Drosophila melanogaster: one gene and its partners. The protein of the gene in region 1 interacts with the protein of each later gene in a pairwise test. Each region holds a gene or a part of one and is shown on either strand. Other genes may lie near its edges.

What was found.
Region 2: the proteins of CG11811 (region 1) and scaf6 interact in a two-hybrid assay, tested with the Drosophila melanogaster proteins (one large-scale study listed by BioGRID).
Region 3: the proteins of CG11811 (region 1) and CG15236 interact in a two-hybrid assay, tested with the Drosophila melanogaster proteins (one large-scale study listed by BioGRID).

What each region holds. Positions count from the first base shown.
Region 1 is NT_037436.4:10,689,492-10,693,128, forward strand, and holds CG11811 (uncharacterized protein), read left to right. Parts: upstream 1-1,532; 5' UTR 1,533-1,684; coding exon 1,685-2,386; 3' UTR 2,387-3,107; downstream 3,108-3,637. Other genes in the region: CG33493 (uncharacterized protein), read right to left, coding at 3,324-3,632.
Region 2 is NT_037436.4:17,036,571-17,044,469, forward strand, and holds scaf6 (SR-related CTD associated factor 6), read right to left. Parts: upstream 6,005-7,899; 5' UTR 5,890-6,004; coding exon 5,868-5,889; intron 5,704-5,867; coding exon 5,533-5,703; intron 5,471-5,532; coding exon 5,124-5,470; coding exon of another isoform or gene 5,115-5,123; exon of another isoform or gene 4,364-5,114; intron 4,032-4,363; coding exon 3,869-4,031; intron 3,641-3,868; coding exon 3,568-3,640; intron 3,061-3,567; coding exon 2,986-3,060; intron 2,764-2,985; coding exon 2,687-2,763; intron 2,624-2,686; coding exon 2,425-2,623; intron 2,363-2,424; coding exon 1,361-2,362; intron 1,304-1,360; coding exon 1,136-1,303; intron 1,065-1,135; coding exon 750-1,064; intron 686-749; coding exon 514-685; intron 461-513; coding exon 362-460; 3' UTR 289-361; downstream 1-288. Other genes in the region: beg (bad egg), read left to right, coding at 1-268; Papst2 (PAPS transporter 2), read left to right, coding at 6,496-7,347, 7,404-7,585, 7,648-7,804.
Region 3 is NT_033778.4:6,826,426-6,831,359, reverse strand, and holds the start of CG15236 (uncharacterized protein), read right to left. Parts: upstream 3,005-4,934; 5' UTR 2,693-3,004; intron 1,859-2,692; exon of another isoform or gene 1,800-1,858; 5' UTR 1,445-1,799; coding exon 1,312-1,444; intron 65-1,311; exon of another isoform or gene 1-64.

The DNA.
Region 1 (3,637 bases):
ATTGAATATTAAATATGAATAATATTGAATCCTAGCCAGTAAGAAGATTGCCCCGTTTTTCTAGGGGCGCACACCACACACACACAAACACACACAAACCATTCAACCAACAAATCCCCACCCCGCCCTAAAAACCTTTTTTGTAATTGTTAACCTTTTTTGGGAGTCCCAATTGGGATTGCTGAACTGCATGGCTCCCTTTTTTGGTCTTATTCAACAATTTTGTCGTACAATTCGTTTAGTTCTTAGCATCGTGAATAAATCTATAAATATAAATATTATATTTTTTAATCAATTTTAAGCATATGCATAGTATTAGTTGTAAACAAATTTTTAGGGTACAATAAATTACAGAAAACAATTAAACCAATTCTTGCATTGCCGGAGAGCCAGCCACAAACTTAACACATAATTCACATTTCATTACTCATTTCCGATATCAAATCCTCCACATGCCTTATCCATGTTACAGCTCCGATACGAAGTTAGTACTGTTATTTAGTTGAGACCGCGAGGGATCCAGCAACCTTATATACCATATACCATAAATCATAATACCATATGATACCATGATCGTCGCCTAGGACTGTTTCTTTCATTTTGTTCCACTTTAAATGCAAAAATAACAGAGAAACATCGAAAACTTAAAGCTAAAAAGATATGATAATTTGTACATATATTTGACAGATGAGGTATTCATCTTCGGTAAACCGAAATCTATATACTCTTCCCATTAGAACCGAACAGAACAGAGCAGAACTTCAGGTTTTCGATCCTCCATTGAAGATATGAATATAATATTGACTGAATATTAGCATATACACAGATTAGTAGGAATCTAGCAGAAGCAGAGGCTTGCATAAATCCCTAAACATACGAGGTAAAATAATATATATATATATACATATATATATTTTTGATTTATCGGACGGCAGTAAAGTAGGTTTACATTCAGGCGAATCATTCGGAACACAAACCAAATTCACTTTGGGCATGCGAAATCAAAATGTGATCAAAAAAATATGAAATTACAAAAACGTAAGAAAACGAGAATAATGAGAAAACAATTAAACGGAAACAAGCAGATGAGAAATTCACAATTATTGTAAGCTAAATACAAATAAAAATAAAAAAATAACTACAAATGCATTGTAATTCAGTCGGCATCAGTTTCAGTGTGTATGTGTGTTTGAAATTCTATGCTAAATGTAAAACAGTATAAGAATATAACAGTTTTTAAACCAAAATCGACTGGTGTTTGATTGTTTATTTGGGAGGCTTGAATCGCCAAATTAATAAATTGATTTTTAAGTCAGTTCCAGCAATTTTAAACTTATTTGTTATGTAAATGCAAATAATACATTATTAACATTTCGGCCAATTAATATTTTGTATAGATTATACAGCTTTTAAATAACTTAATTTTAAATATTCAATTAGATATTCAACTTATTTGTTCAAATTCAAAAGAACCATTTTTTCAATACAAATTTTGAACATTTATCGCACTGCTTGGCCTATCGATATGTATCGACTTTCGCCCACCGCTGGCGCACACACACATGCACAAGCACGCCCACTTCTCTTAATTTAGCCAAAGCCAAATAGCAAAAAGAACTAAACCAGCTTTTTTGGCCCCCATTTGTGTTGTTGGTGCTGTTCTGTGCGAATAAAAGGCCACGCGATGATAAGCTTTCTGTTCATTGTAAATCGGGCGCTCAGCAGCAGCAGCAGCAGTAGCAGTGCAGCGGCATCCTTAACGAGCAAGAAGATGACCGCCCCCGGGCCACGCCCCCTTGTCCTATGCGGTCCCTCGGGATCCGGAAAGAGTACGCTGCTGAAAAGGCTATTCGCCGAATTCCCCAGCACCTTTGGCTTCAGCATATCGCACACCACGCGGAAGCCGCGTGAGGGCGAGGAGCATGGCGTGCACTACTATTTTGTGGAACGTCCGGAAATGGAGGCAGCCATCGCTGGCGACGAGTTCATCGAGACGGCCGAGTTTACGGGCAATCTTTATGGAACGAGCAAGGCGGCGGTTAGAGAGATCCAGGCACAGGGACGGGTCTGCATACTGGACATCGAACAGAAGGGAGTGGAGCAGATCAAGCGTACGGATCTCAATCCCATACTGATATTCAACAATCCACCGAGCATCAAGGAGCTGGAGCGACGACTTCGCAAACGTGGCTCCGAAACGGAGGAGTCGCTGAGCAAGCGCCTCAATGCCGCTCAGGTGGAGCTCGATTATGGTTTGACGCCCGGCAACTTCCACAAGATCATCAATAACGTGGACATCGATGTGGCCTACGAGGAATTCCGCAACTTTGTCGTCCAGGAACTCAAGGAGCAGCAGAAGCAGGGAGTATCAGTTAACTTGAATTAAGGCGAAGCATTTTGCGGACGAATGTAGAATGATATTAACCTCAATGGGGTGGGGGTAGAAATTGTTTGTGAACTGATCGACGACAGGAAAAGTAAATTATAGAAAACTTATCATTGGAAACGGCAGGAAGCTATAGGAAAACCAGGTACTCTTTATGCATATTGTAAAGAATTTAGCTTATAAGAGAAACTTAAAAACTTTCCGAAGATACAGAATATCAAACTTCATATTTTAACTAATAGTTTTCTTAAATAAAATAGAAATAATACTCTCCATTCAATAATCGCATATATAAGAGCAATATCAAGATTTTAGTTTTATGTAGAAGCAGACTATTTTTGAATTCTAGGACAAACTTTGCTTATATTGTGAAAAATACTTTGTCAGCAGCAGAATATTGTTAGTAAACAATTGCTTAGCCAGCGAACTTGACCCAATGTTTCCAATGAAAGTAGACCATAGATTACTTTTCGTGACCCCGATGCCTGGAGCCCCCACCCTGCAAACCACTTTGACTAATGGCATTTATACTTAAGAAATGGCTTGTATTTATTATATACTCTCCTCCTGTCCACCTCATCATTGTTGTGCAAATTCGTTGTTCTAGTTGTAATTTTAAGCTGAAATTTGTTGCGCGCCGCTTCACGGTCGAGAAAACCGGAGAGGGCGATTAAAATGGAATCAATAAAGCGAACATTATGCGGGTATATTGTATTTTCACAAACGTTCTATATATATTTCCAACAAAGCCAAGCCCGAGAAGGTCAAAATGTTATCTATCGTCAGTGGGATTGTTTATACAGTGGCCGTCTGTCTCCTCACGCAATCGCTCGATTTTGTCCCCGGCCGCCCGCCTGCTGATGTCTGGAATTCTCACGGCTCTATTTGTCGAATGTAATACGCACGCCCACGCGAAAGTCCTGCTCCGAACCTTGGATTACGAGGGATACGCATTGGTCTTATAGTCATGGTGTAGATGCAGTTTGGCCTGGTATCTGGTGCTGCCCGTACCCGATTGTGTTCCATGTGTTCGATGCACCAGGCTGGCAGAGCCATCGATCTTCGTCCGACTGTCCGCACTGCTCCATAGCCCGGCGATGGCCTCCAGAGCCAGTTCCGTCTCCTCATCGTTGTCGTCGTGCTCCGCCGAAACCGTGAGATCGATCTGACGACGCTGGCGAGGCACCGATGCCGCCAAGCCGATGGAGATGACGAGCAGTAGCAGAAGGTACTGAAGCGCACGCATGTTGA
Region 2 (7,899 bases), 6.3 Mb from region 1:
AACGGTGCGACTTCAGGACCCCGTCATTAGAGTGTACTCCAATGTGGATGGCAAACCCTATCGCCATGCCAAGCACATCCTAACGCAGCTGCCCAAGCAAATCGTGAGGCCCGTCAAGTGGGAGCAGACTCTCCACGAGATGTACGAGCGCAAGCAGGGCGTCGACTTTCCACGCACCTTCGAATGCGGTCCTGGCAAGGGCCTGGTCCAGGTCCTGGAAAAAGTAAATGCCAAGGCCGCTCAATCCAGCTTTAATGTTATAGCCTAATCTTGTATAAAAATTCAGTTCGCTTTTATAAAAATGTATATTTTCTGGGCTAAAGGAAACAAAAAACTGGGAAGTTATGACCGTTGGCAGATCCTAACTCTTGTCGTCTCGCGATCGCATCCGGTGCGCGAAGGCAGCTCCTTTGTTCTTCCGAAAGCTCTCGAAGGGATCGTGCATATTAGCGCCCACTCCCTGTGGATAGAAAATTATAAGTTGTCCTTTCTTGCGCACTCTTGCCACTTCACCTTGTACATCTCTCGACGATCGCGCACCTCGCCTCCCGAAATGGGCGTGTCGATGCCTTGATTCTTTGAGCCCAGTCCAGTTCCCGTGCCCGCCCAACCCATTTTCATGAGCATTTGGTGGCCCTTGTTCGATTCCTCGATGAAATCCGCTGGCTTGGCAAATGTGCTTCCCCTGGAAAAACAAAGATAGCTCATTGGTCCGACTGTCATGAAATTGTACTATAGCCATGATTTACAGAAAGCTCGGAGGTGTTAGAGATCTGTCGCGGTCCACTCGTCTTAGGTTGGTGCTGTTGCCATTGTCTCGGCTATTGGAATTGCCACGATCACCACGGCCCTCTCTGGTATTTGTGCTGCCGCTGTTGTTGTCCCGTTCGTGGCGAGGAGATCGATTGCGACCCTTGCGGTTGTTACCACCGCCCAACCTGCTCCGATTCATCGGTGGCGGCGTTAAAGAGCGCTCCATGGATCGCGAGCGGGATCGGGAGCGAGACAACGATCTATCTCGATGGGGCGGCGTTTTTGAGCGGGAGCGACTGCGACTCTTGGATCTGCGCAAGAAAATAAGTGCAAATATTTCTAGTTTTTGTGTGAAAATTTTTGATGGAAAACCAACACTCACCGATAAACTCGCTTGTTGCTCTTTTTGGGTAGGGGTTTCTCGAGCACAATCGGACTTGGCGACCGCGACTTTTCTCGAATGCCGTCCTTGATTTCCTCTTCTTTTTGCTTTCGCGCCGCATTCTTCACCTTATAGTACTCATAGAGACCAAGCTTCTCCCAACCCTCACTGCAAGATAAGCCCATTTATAAGGAACGCTCAATAACATCAAATTGAAATACTTACTTATCCCTTGGACGATCGTGTGAGGGTGCGGAATAGAAGGCGTTCAATGCATTTGTTAATCGCTCGCTTTGTGGCGCTGGAGCTGGCAGTCGAATGTCCGCCGGATCGAGGGCTTTGTAGTTGTAATCCTCCAGACGAATGAGCGGCACCATGAGGCCCGCTGGCAGGTCGTAGTAAGGCGCTGTGGGTATTTGTGGCTCTCCGATCACAACAGGTTCTCCAGATTCTCCGTCGACCAATTTCTGTGGTTGCTGGCCATCTTCCAATGTTCCGTCTTCGGGTTTGTTGGTTATAACCGCGCGAATGGCTGCATTGAGCACATCCAGATCCACTTCGCTGCTATCAGCATTTTGCTGGCCAGGTCTAACAATATTCTGGGGATAGGCAGCCATTGGCGGCGGCTGCTTTTGCTGCTGCGGTTGTTGCTGCTGCTGCTGCTGCAGTTGGTGCTGTCCTTGTTGCTGAGGGTCGTCAGGATGGTGTTGCTGCTGCATCTGTAAGCACGCCTGAATCGCTGCACTGAGAACGCCAAGATCAACAGGTGGTTCATTGCCAGAACCCGGCGCCTGCATGGGCGGAAACTGTCCCGGTTGTGGCTGCTGCTGGCCCATTGCTGGGCCCTGATTATGATGCATGGGTCCGGGGAAGCCTGGTGGTGGTTTGGACATGTCCGGAATGAAGAAGTTCGGTCCGCGTGGATCCGCAAAGTGATTCCCCGGTGGTGGCTGCTGCTGTTGGAAGTTACCACCTGGATACATATTATTTCCCGCCTGCGGATGCTGCTGATCATGCGGCCCCTGGCTATTCATGTGCTCATGGTCACCCGGCATTGCTATTCGGTGGGACATCAGCGATGGTATGTTCTTCTGCTGATGCTGAAGCATGTGTTGCTGCTGGGACTTCTGGGCCACAATCTGCTGCTCCAGGTGCTGCGCCTGTTTCTCCAGCTGCACAATTTGCTGGCTAGCATGTTGGATAAATACATGATGCTGTTTCTGATAGCTGAAGCATAAGAGTTATGGTTTATTATGTGCTCTATTATGTTCTTGGACTTTTATACTTACTTATCCAAAGTCGCCTTGGTATTCTGCGTGAATTTAGCAGTTATATCATGATGTGTGTTCTGCAGATTGGTTTTGTACTCCTGCATTGACGAGTCCGGTGACTGAAGCTTCGAGATGACGCAGGCATCGAAGAACTTCGCCTTGGACTCCCACAGAGACAGCAGCTTGGCTAGCTTCTGGCGCTGGTCGGGGTTGCCAACTGTGGGCGAGGATAACACTATTAGAAATCCGTAAAGGAATGGATCGAAGTGGAAATACATACTCAAGTCGGCGCTGCAGAACATCGGAATGACGACGTTCTCGAGGCTGTTCTTCAAGTCATTGATGTTCTTGCGCATGCTGTAAATATATCGTTGGACTTAGGTCTCATCTCCTAGCTACTCTAAATGTCAAGGTATGATGTCCGAAGTCCGGTGGTCGGTCAGGTTCAGTCCAATTCTGTCAGCGTAGTCGTCCGCAGAAACTAACCCACAAAGTAGTCTTACTGCTCAGTGGGTTAGTTATTGAGGTCTATGGCCCTTAAATACTATACTATACTAATAATTGACTGGGCGAACTTACCAGTGATGGAGTATATCATTAACTAAATATATAAGATGCAATTTTTGCTGAAACGTTGAACCATTGACCAAAGCCCTAAAAATAAATTAACAAACGAAAAACATATTTTTCTAGTTCTCTGTATGCACAACAACATTGCCAAAAGTACTTGTTGTGCAAGTATAATGATTTTTGTTAGTAAATCTTCTTTCTTTTTGGTATTTGTGTTTTTTTTTTTGGTTTTTTTTTTTTGTCCGATGATTATCACTGTTAAGTGTTGGTGTGTTGTTGTGCGTGTTTATGGTTAAGCTTATTAAGTAAAATGATTTGTTTGGGTGTGTGGCCCTAGCTAAAAGACTTCCGGATCTGGGGACTACTCATATATGATCATAACATCTCTCGAAAACGAATCAACGAATCAATCTCGAGCCTCTCTGTGGAAGTCTCAATCGCACAATCGCTCAATCGATCATCTCTCACTTGTTTGTTCGATATTTCGTATTTCGTTTTTCTATGTTTGGTTAGTATTTCACTCGTTGAAAGAAAGAAACACAATTTAATTAATACATATTGCAGGTCATTAGGTATAAAACTGAGGCATACTTCTTTAAAAGATATTGTAAAACGACATTGATTTTTGCGCTGTCGGTTGAATGCTGTAAAATCCAGTTCTTGCCTAAAATTGCAATATCAAACGGGTTACTCATATTGTCATTGTCCATGGCGATTATAAATTAGGTTTAGGATTAATCAAAAAGTAGTATGGATTCATTTAGTGTGCGCTTTGTGTGCAGCAAAGCTGCGGAGCATCAAAAATTCAGCTCCATTAGCTAACTTATGACTGATTACGAGACTACAAACAAGCAATAATGTAATCCAGCCTGTCCGCTGAACTCGTATTTACCTGCAGAGATGCTGTCCTTCGTGCAGGACTCGATGATCGGCTGCAGAACGCCATCGAAGTCCCTCAGCACAATGCCCTGTTCGCCAGCCATCTGTTCCTGCTGCGCCGTCTGCGCCGCCGCAATTGCATCCTCGATCTGCTTGGTCTTCTGATTCATCAGGGCCTACAGGTTGGTTTCGTTTGGTTGATTGGTGCGATTAGGATCGCAAGCGTTGGTGTGGTTCGGATCGGTTCGGTTTGGTCATTAGGCACACAAAGGTTTGTTCGCATGCATATTCGCATTTTGGGATTCATTTGACAAGCGTTTCAAAACAAATTTGATTTTAGGATTTGTTTTTTTTTTGTTTTTATACAGTTTTGTCAGTTGGTATGAAGAGTGGTTTGATTTGGTTTTTTTTTTTTTGGTTTATGTTTCAAAAAATACAATAAAGCAAAAATTTAATGTAGCATTGTAAATTGTTAATTAAATAGTAAAAATAATGACAAATATAGATTGTAGTTTGATATTGCTGAAAGTACACTTTAACTTTATCTTATCCGCACTTGGAGAACAAGAACTGAGTAGATCGATTGAAAAAACATTTGGAAAAGGGTCGAGAGCAGGATTGATTATTCTGAGGAATTCGTGGATTAGTTTCATAAGAAACAATTTCAAGAGGGAAGTCACTTCCATTACAGGGAAATTCAATAGCGACAAGCAATAAGAAATGTCCTTCTTATTAGAAAGAATTTAGTTCACAGTACTTATAGAGTGAAAAGTCCACAAAAGCAGTTCATAATTATTAATATTAAACACCATTTGATGAACTCTTGTTCCAGAGTTGTTATTACAAAAACTAGGGAATACAAAACTGCCATCTATGAGTCTATGACAATATCTTTGGAAATCATTTAAGTCCGAAAGTATATAAGGGTTATACAAGTTATCTTCTCTCTTAAGAAAATAATTAAAAGCATTCTGGCTTAAAATCGAGGTATATTCACATTCGATTGGGTCGTTTAAAAGGGAGGTCAAAAATTCGAAGAAGCAAACACGTTCTTATATTCAGACTATAAAAGCAACTTTTAGGTGGGTATTTAGTTTAAAAAGGAAACCAATTTGCTTCTTTAAATTTTTGCCAGAGGAGGCCAACATTCAACATGAAATCATATTGAAATCTTTTCTTTATACACTCGAGCTGCTCTAATCTTTCGGAAAAAGGCTTGCAAAGGTGGGCATATAGAGGTATCCCAGTTATTTCCAACTTCAAATTACCGTGTGCTGTGCGGAGAGATTCGCTTCGGATTGCTGGATCTGTTCCCGCAGCGACTTCTGCTGCATCTTGATGGCTTCCAGTTGTGACGTTAGATTCATGGCCATGGGATTGCCATTGGCCTGCTGATTGTTTGGCGGCCCACCGTTGCCGGAGTTCGGCGGCCAGGAGTGCTGTGTTTGCTGTTGCATATTGTCTTGTGCGGTTTCGGGCGGGTGCGGTGGCTGCTGATTGGGTGGCGGATAGAGGCCCGGTGGTTGGGATTGCTGCATTGGCGGCGGATGTTGCATGTAGTGGCCGGATGGAGCACCTGGTGGCAGTTGTTGGTTAATGGCCTGTTGCTTTAGCACTGTATTGGGTGTTAAAAGGAGATTATAGGGGTTATTTTCCACCAATTTAGAACGCACTCACGAGCTTGTTCCGCTGCCACCCTGAATTGATAATAGTTGGCGAACTCCCCGCCGTAGAGGAACTCGAACTTTGGATTGTTCTGCTGCTTCTGCTTGGTTATCGCCTCGAATTCCGGCCCATTTCTGGCCACAAACTCCGCCAGTTTGTCGATAATATTTCGTAAACTGGCATCTGCAAATAGAAAGCAAATGGTTTTTGCAAAAAATGTGAGCATATCAAAGGTTGTGCGTGCGCTTGTTTGTTTGTATGTGTACACATGTGCATGCCAATCGACTTGGGCACAAAATTAGCTTGATTTTAAGTTATATTCAGCACTTTTTAATTGCTGCACTTACCGCGTGGCGGTTGCACGTCCATTTTGCGACTGTTATTAGCACTATTATCCTATGTAAAATACTAAATTCATAACTTTTTGCACTTTTTCAGCGGCACTTTTCACTGCTTCTTCTTGTTTTTTCCGACAGTGTGCCCATATCTTTGTATTCTTAGAACGACATGTAGTCAAATACTAGGAGTTACTCTCGGCACTACTTTTTAAGTAGTTTTTAGCGCTTATCATACGCTTTTTTGAGCAAAAAAGCGGCTTAAACCTTTATCGCTGCTCATTTGTTAAATGTATTTATTGCCAGTAGCAGAAGTTCCAATTAGAATGACGGTGGTAGCAGAGCTGCCAACTTGTTCCACGTTATACCGGTCTCTCTTCTATTATTACCACAACGTGGCAACGCCGCGCGTCTATCTCAGTTCTAAGCTGACAAAAATAGTTTATTTGTGGTAAACAAACATTTAGCCAGGGCAATTTGCACCCAACAGAAATCTCCACGCCGGCCCGTGATTAATGCAGCATCCGAGGAGGCATGACAAATCCGCACTTTAAACCGACAACTCCGCGGACAGCGTGGCATTGAATTACACGGGCTCCCTGGAAATATAATCTTGAAATAGCCACTATATAGTGTGTATATGTATATAGACACATCCGCTAGCAGCAGAATGACCGATAATAAGGGGAGCGTTATCACCATTAATGGCGGCGAATCGGCGGGAAACTCGCCGCCCTCGCAGCGGAAGTCCTCGACGTCGGAATCTCCGCCGGAACTCCGTATCCTTTGCTTTGACCTCACCTACTACAATCGCACAACTCAGTTCCTGCTCAGCTGCGCCGGCGTCTTCTTCCTGTACATCCTGTACGGCTATCTGCAGGAGCTGATCTTCACCGTCGAAGGATTCAAACCCTACGGATGGTTCCTCACGCTCGTCCAGTTTGGCTACTACATCGGCTTCGGTTTGGTGGAGCGGCGGCTGGAGGGCTATCGGATAAGCGGCGGTTCCTTTTGGAACATTGAGCCGGAGCCACGTTGCATTCCCATGAGAACATACCTAATTCTGGCTGCTCTCACGCTGGGTACCATGGGTCTGTCCAACTCAAGTCTCGGCTACCTGAACTATCCCACCCAGGTGATTTTCAAGTGCTGCAAGCTCATTCCCGTGCTGGTGGGCAGCATCCTCATACAGGGCAAACGCTACGGACTGCTGGACTTTGCGGCAGCCACCTGCATGTGCATCGGATTGGCCTGGTTCACGCTGGCCGACTCCCAGATGACGCCCAATTTCAATCTGCTTGGTGTGGCCATGATTTCGGGAGCGCTGCTCTGCGACGCAGCCATTGGCAATGTCCAGGAGAAGGCGATGCGGGAATTCAAGGCGCCCAGCAGTGAGGTGGTGTTCTACTCATACGGCTTGGGTTTTGTGTACCTATTTGTGATTATGCTGGTTACCGGCAACTTCTTCAGCGGCTTTGCATTCTGTTTGGAGGTGGGTAACATTTGAGGTTTATGATGTAAGAGATCTAAAGTGTATTATCCATTTAGCATCCCGTTGAGACCTTCGGCTATGGCTTCCTCTTTAGTTTGTCCGGCTATCTGGGCATTCAGTTTGTGCTGGCTCTGGTGAGGAGTAGTGGTGCCCCCATAGCTGCCACAGTGACCACCGCCCGCAAGGCTGTGACTATAGCCTTCTCCTTTGTGCTTTTCAGCAAGCCCTTTACCTTACAGTAAGTACTATTCTGTGTATTTCTAAAGACAAAGCTCTATTATACCTATCCCAAACTTTCAGATATCTGTGGTCGGGCCTCATCGTTGTCCTGGGCATATATCTCAATGTCTACAGCAAGAGGAACAAGCTGACGTTGGCCGACGTCCGGCAGAGAATAAAGCAATTTGGAGCCAAGGTTGCCCGCTCACCGAGTCGCAAATTCCTCATCGAAGTTTAGAACGATACCAAAAACACTCACATTTTAGTTGAATTGGAAGCATGGGTTTTCTATAAGAAAACCATTAAATATAATTACTTAATTACATTCTAAAC
Region 3 (4,934 bases), on another chromosome or scaffold:
CAATAAAAACATTACAAAGCGAAACGAATTAATAAAATCACTAAGTGTGAATATTAAGAACACCATTTAATAATATCTTGTGCTCGAATTTGTCTTAATAGCTTAAGTTAAAAATATCTAAAATCGGTATTTATCTCCGTTGAACAGCACATTTCGCATAAAAATGTTGAACGTAGATAAAGAATCATAAAAAATAATTAAGCTATAGTGGAGTTGTTAACAAAAACAAAAGGCGACAGTGAACCTTTTTGGTCATTTCATATCTCAAGAGAAAACAAAGAAGAGCGGTTCAAAAGTTCAAGGCAGTTTCCCTTTGAATAGTCACAAATATCTTATCAACATCTCAAAGTTTTTATGGATTCTTTGAAATATACCAAACTAATGTATAAAACAAGCAAAAGCAAGTAAAAAGGAAAAGCCTTTACTGATTAAAAATATATACATATGATCCATTACAGAAAATGAAAATCGATGGCCTAGTCTTAAACTTAAAGTGATTAGACTTCAAGCTACAAAGTCTATGAAACACCCAAAGATAGAAACATTTTTAAGCCAAAGTGTTAAGGAAAGGTTTCTACGTGAAATCGCATAATACTATAAAATGTTTTCTACTAAATTTGCGAATATTTTAATGCATCGCATGGTCCGAACACAATTAAATATTGACTCTACATTCGTCACTACGTGAACTGCCTCCTCGATTATTGAAGCCTGTCTACAAAATGAAAGACTTATAGAGCAGGGAAACAGGCATCGCTTACAGTCCCTTAGTGGTATATACAACAATCGTGGTTTATAATTCGTTACTTAGGACAGAACAAGGTCCACCCTGCAGTAGGAATTCAGCACACAAAATCCGATCGGCAAGCTGTTGCCACCTTACAAATGAAATTTTGGCAAAATTCACAGAGGCCATAAACGTTTGCTGGCATTTTATTATGCATATTTGATAAATTATCATAAAAATAAGAAGTGAAATAAATCACGGGCCACATAAAAGTCAGCGCTGTGTGTGCATATGTATGTTGTTTTATGGCAAACAGTTGTCATTAAATCAAAAGGCTGCACTCATTATGACATAAAAGCAGGGAAAGGCAAATGGAAAATGTGAAATGTGAAAGCGCAAAGCACTCATAAAAATGCAGAGTGAAACGCTTGCCGTAATTTATGTAATACAGATTTAATAAGGCTGTAAAACGGATTCTCCTTTTATTCCGACTGCTCTCCATAATTCAAGCAAAGCAATCGGCGACAGAGAGCTGCTCAGTCCGAAGATTGAGGGACTCCCAGACTCCCAGACGCTCCACTCACCCTTCGTCCGGCAGAGTAATCCCAGGATGGTGGCCAGCAGGAGGCAGGACCTCAGGGAATTGCCGCTCGTCATGCTGTCGCTCCTTATAATCCCAAGAAGAATCTCACTTTCGGCGGATTTCACGGATGGCATTGCACTTTGCTTGCTGCACCTTACTTGCACATTTTTGCTCTGACTCTTTGCTTGGCTCCTTTGGCCCACACACACTGGCACACACACAGAGCGATATACCGACAAACCGGTACACCGGTACACCAATACACCGACACAGCGAGGATTCCGCACAGTACAGGAACCTTCGCCGCTGTTTGTTCGCCGTTTTAGGTGGCTCCGATGTTTGTTTGCGCTCCTTCTTCGGCTGTGTTTACGCTAGCACTTTATACCTTGGTAGGAACGGCTGTTTTTATCGCACTCGAGTTGTTTGTTATTTTTAGAATGTACAGAATGGCGGTGGTATGCTGCATTCACAATGCCGGTGCTGCGCCTGCTAAATGTGGGCCCTCTTAAGTAGGCAACGATTTTCGCAGCCATGCCAATTTATGGAGGCTGAATGTAAATGGAACTCAACTACCGCCATTAGGACCCGCTTATATTGAATTTATTTCACGGCCTCCTAATGGCGCAACTGTGATTCACTTTCCCCGGCCTTCAGCCGTTCGGCTTTCGTCCTCCGCCTCCCAACTCCCCCACTTGGTACTCCTTTCGCCGGAGCTACGTGCCTGGTTAGTTGAGAAAGACCCAACAAGTGTTTCCTTCAGAAAGTTGCCTTACGAAATTTGCGAAGGAAGCTGCGGCAGCTGCGATTGCCACGTTCTGTGGCGGCTGATTTCGAATGAAATTGAATCCCATTAACTAATCATAAAGAAGTGAATACGGAGGAGGTCTTCCCCGATGGACGCACACTCCCGGTCCAAGTGCTCGTGCTCGTGTTTATCCAACGGCCGTGGTAACTGCACCGTCAATCCATTTAATCTGTGGCACTGGAGAGGCTTAGCTATCCAAATGGCACGAGCACTGGAGCGGGTAAGGGTGTTAGGTGGTCAGGGAGTGAGGGGCGCCACCGGGAAATCGGGGAGCTGGGAACATGGTGGCTGGGAAAGCAAAGCAAAGCCAAACGGAACGAAAGCATCCGCAGGAGGCTGGAGCGGAAATTCATTGCCACGTTTGAAGTGTGAGAAATTAGCGCCATGCCAGCGGCAATCCCAATCCCAATCCCCACCCCATCTCGATCCCAATCGCAACCAAGTCCGGATCCCAATCCGCACACCCACGTGACTGTCGCACACATTGATGGATGAAACAAAGCTGGCAAAGGTTGGCAGCCATAACTTCTAATAAAGGCGGTCCGAATGCCGCGTGGCCGGGTGGTATTTAATTTACGTTTAATTTTCGACGATTTCCGTTCAACTTGATTGAGTTTCGACTGCACTGGCATGCCGTGATTTATTCGCAGGCGCTTTAATGGCATTCGTTTTGCCTCCGCGGCTCAGTTTCCGATGTTTGCGTTTGATTAAGAGAGGCGGAGAGAGGGTCCCTAATTACATTTTATGTTAATTGAATGCACTTCTCGCATCAAGACTCGCTTTAAATCGGCCACAAAGCGGCGTCGGTCCGTCACACACGGCGGCTACGCGATGACTGAGTCCTTGGACCTGCGACACTCTGCGCTCAGCACTGCGACGGCACTGTTGCCGCGGATGCTGAGTCCTTTGTATTTATTGCACACAAGCACAGCAGCCGCCGACAACTCAATCTCCGCTCTCTCTCTCTCTCTCTGTCTCTCTCTCTATCTCCTCCGAGAGAGCGCTCTCCCCGCTTTTATGAATGAGTTGTGCGCAATAAACACAGCTGCGGCAGCAACGATAACAGCGCCTGTTAGCCGTATGTTAGCCACCGGATTCATGCAAATTGCACCAAAGTGAATCAGCTACAGGCCGCTATCCGTTATTTTCGGTGGAAATTGCATTTTCCCTTTGGCGCCTTTGGGCCATTTGGGCTCGCACTTGCCACCTTAAAATGCATTGTCGCCACCGCCGGCAGTTGTCTTAATCGCATTGCACGGGGGAAAATATATCACTGCAGATGAAAGTATCTTCTCAGTCAGTATCTTGTAATCACTACCAAGAATGACCTGCGCGAAGCAGCAATGTATGCATGTGGGTGCTCAATCTTGGGTTTTGCCAAAGGGGTAACTGATGAACTGATAAGTATACAGTCTATACAGTCTATACAGCCTATACAGTATATGCAATATTCGTCGAGTGGTCCTTCAACCCGCAATTATCACCTCCCCACTTAAAAAAAAAAAAGCTTTGATAGTGAAATACTTCTTAAAATTCTTAATCTTACAACTTGATACTTTTTATTGAGAAATGATGGGATGGGGAAACTTGTGCAGGTTTCAAATTCTTTAAAACTCAATTACTTTAATAAGCGCGTAAGTTGAACGTTTCAATCTCTATTCAATTGTTTTTGCACATTATAATGTCAGCGGAAAATGGCTGAACGCTTAAATTTTTAAAAGTGATACTTTAAACAAACAAGGATTTTGAGCAGAGGAACCGTGGGGACGTGCATGTGGAGGAGCATAGTTACATTAGCACTGCGTTAAAGTAAAATATTTGGATATTTTTCCGAGCGGGACATGCTTGGGGCAGGACATGTGGCGCACAGCACCACCACGGGCTAAAGTTCAGTCCAAGGCACCGGGAACAAAGTGTAAATATGTAAATGACAGACGCCCACACACCCGTACACACCCACCGACACACAGCCACACACACTTAAGGACGCAGGACCTGTCAGGACTGTGAGGCCGTTGAGTGACGGGCGATGTTTGCTGTGAAGCTTGTTAGACATTACAATGCGTGTTTGTGCCAGGATAACTGTCAACAGTTGCCGCTGAATTCGCAGCTTTTCTTATTTTTCAAGTTTGCTAATTTCTTTTGTACACTTTGAGCTGCCTAACAACGTCATGCATTAACACAATATAACAATACCCGGCCAAAATGGAGAGCTACTCCTCCACTCTTTGAGTATCCTTGGATTTTGAGCAACAGTTGGCGATGAATGCGCCAGATAAATCACGGTCAAGAAGTTGCTCCAGATGTAACAATCCATTCACTTCCGGTCATATGAGGGATGGCAATTGACCCAATCTAAGTGCTGAATATTTATGTGAATGCAAATCGTTATCCGTATGCAAGCAATTTATGCAGAAAATATTTATATCGTTATGGCTAAATATTGCCAGTTGGCAGATGATGCCGATCCGATATGAATTTAATGTTTGCCAAAGCAATTATATTGCTCCCCACAAATGCGCGCATTAATCGAAATCATAACCAGCAAAAAGAGCGTATGAGCAAATGTATTTAAATATTTAACTATGCATTATATGAATAACCATTTAATTAAGAGTTGTGGCCTACATATATTGTCACTTCAACCGGTCATCCGTGCTAAAAGGGTTGCATATTAATAATTAATTATTATGAAAAATCTTACTTTTTACCTACTCACATTCAAATATTGTGAAAATAATCTATGGAAATAGTTAAATCGCTTTATTTTACTTCCGATGTTAGCGTTCATAATATTTGCCACAAATGTTAAAGAAAAT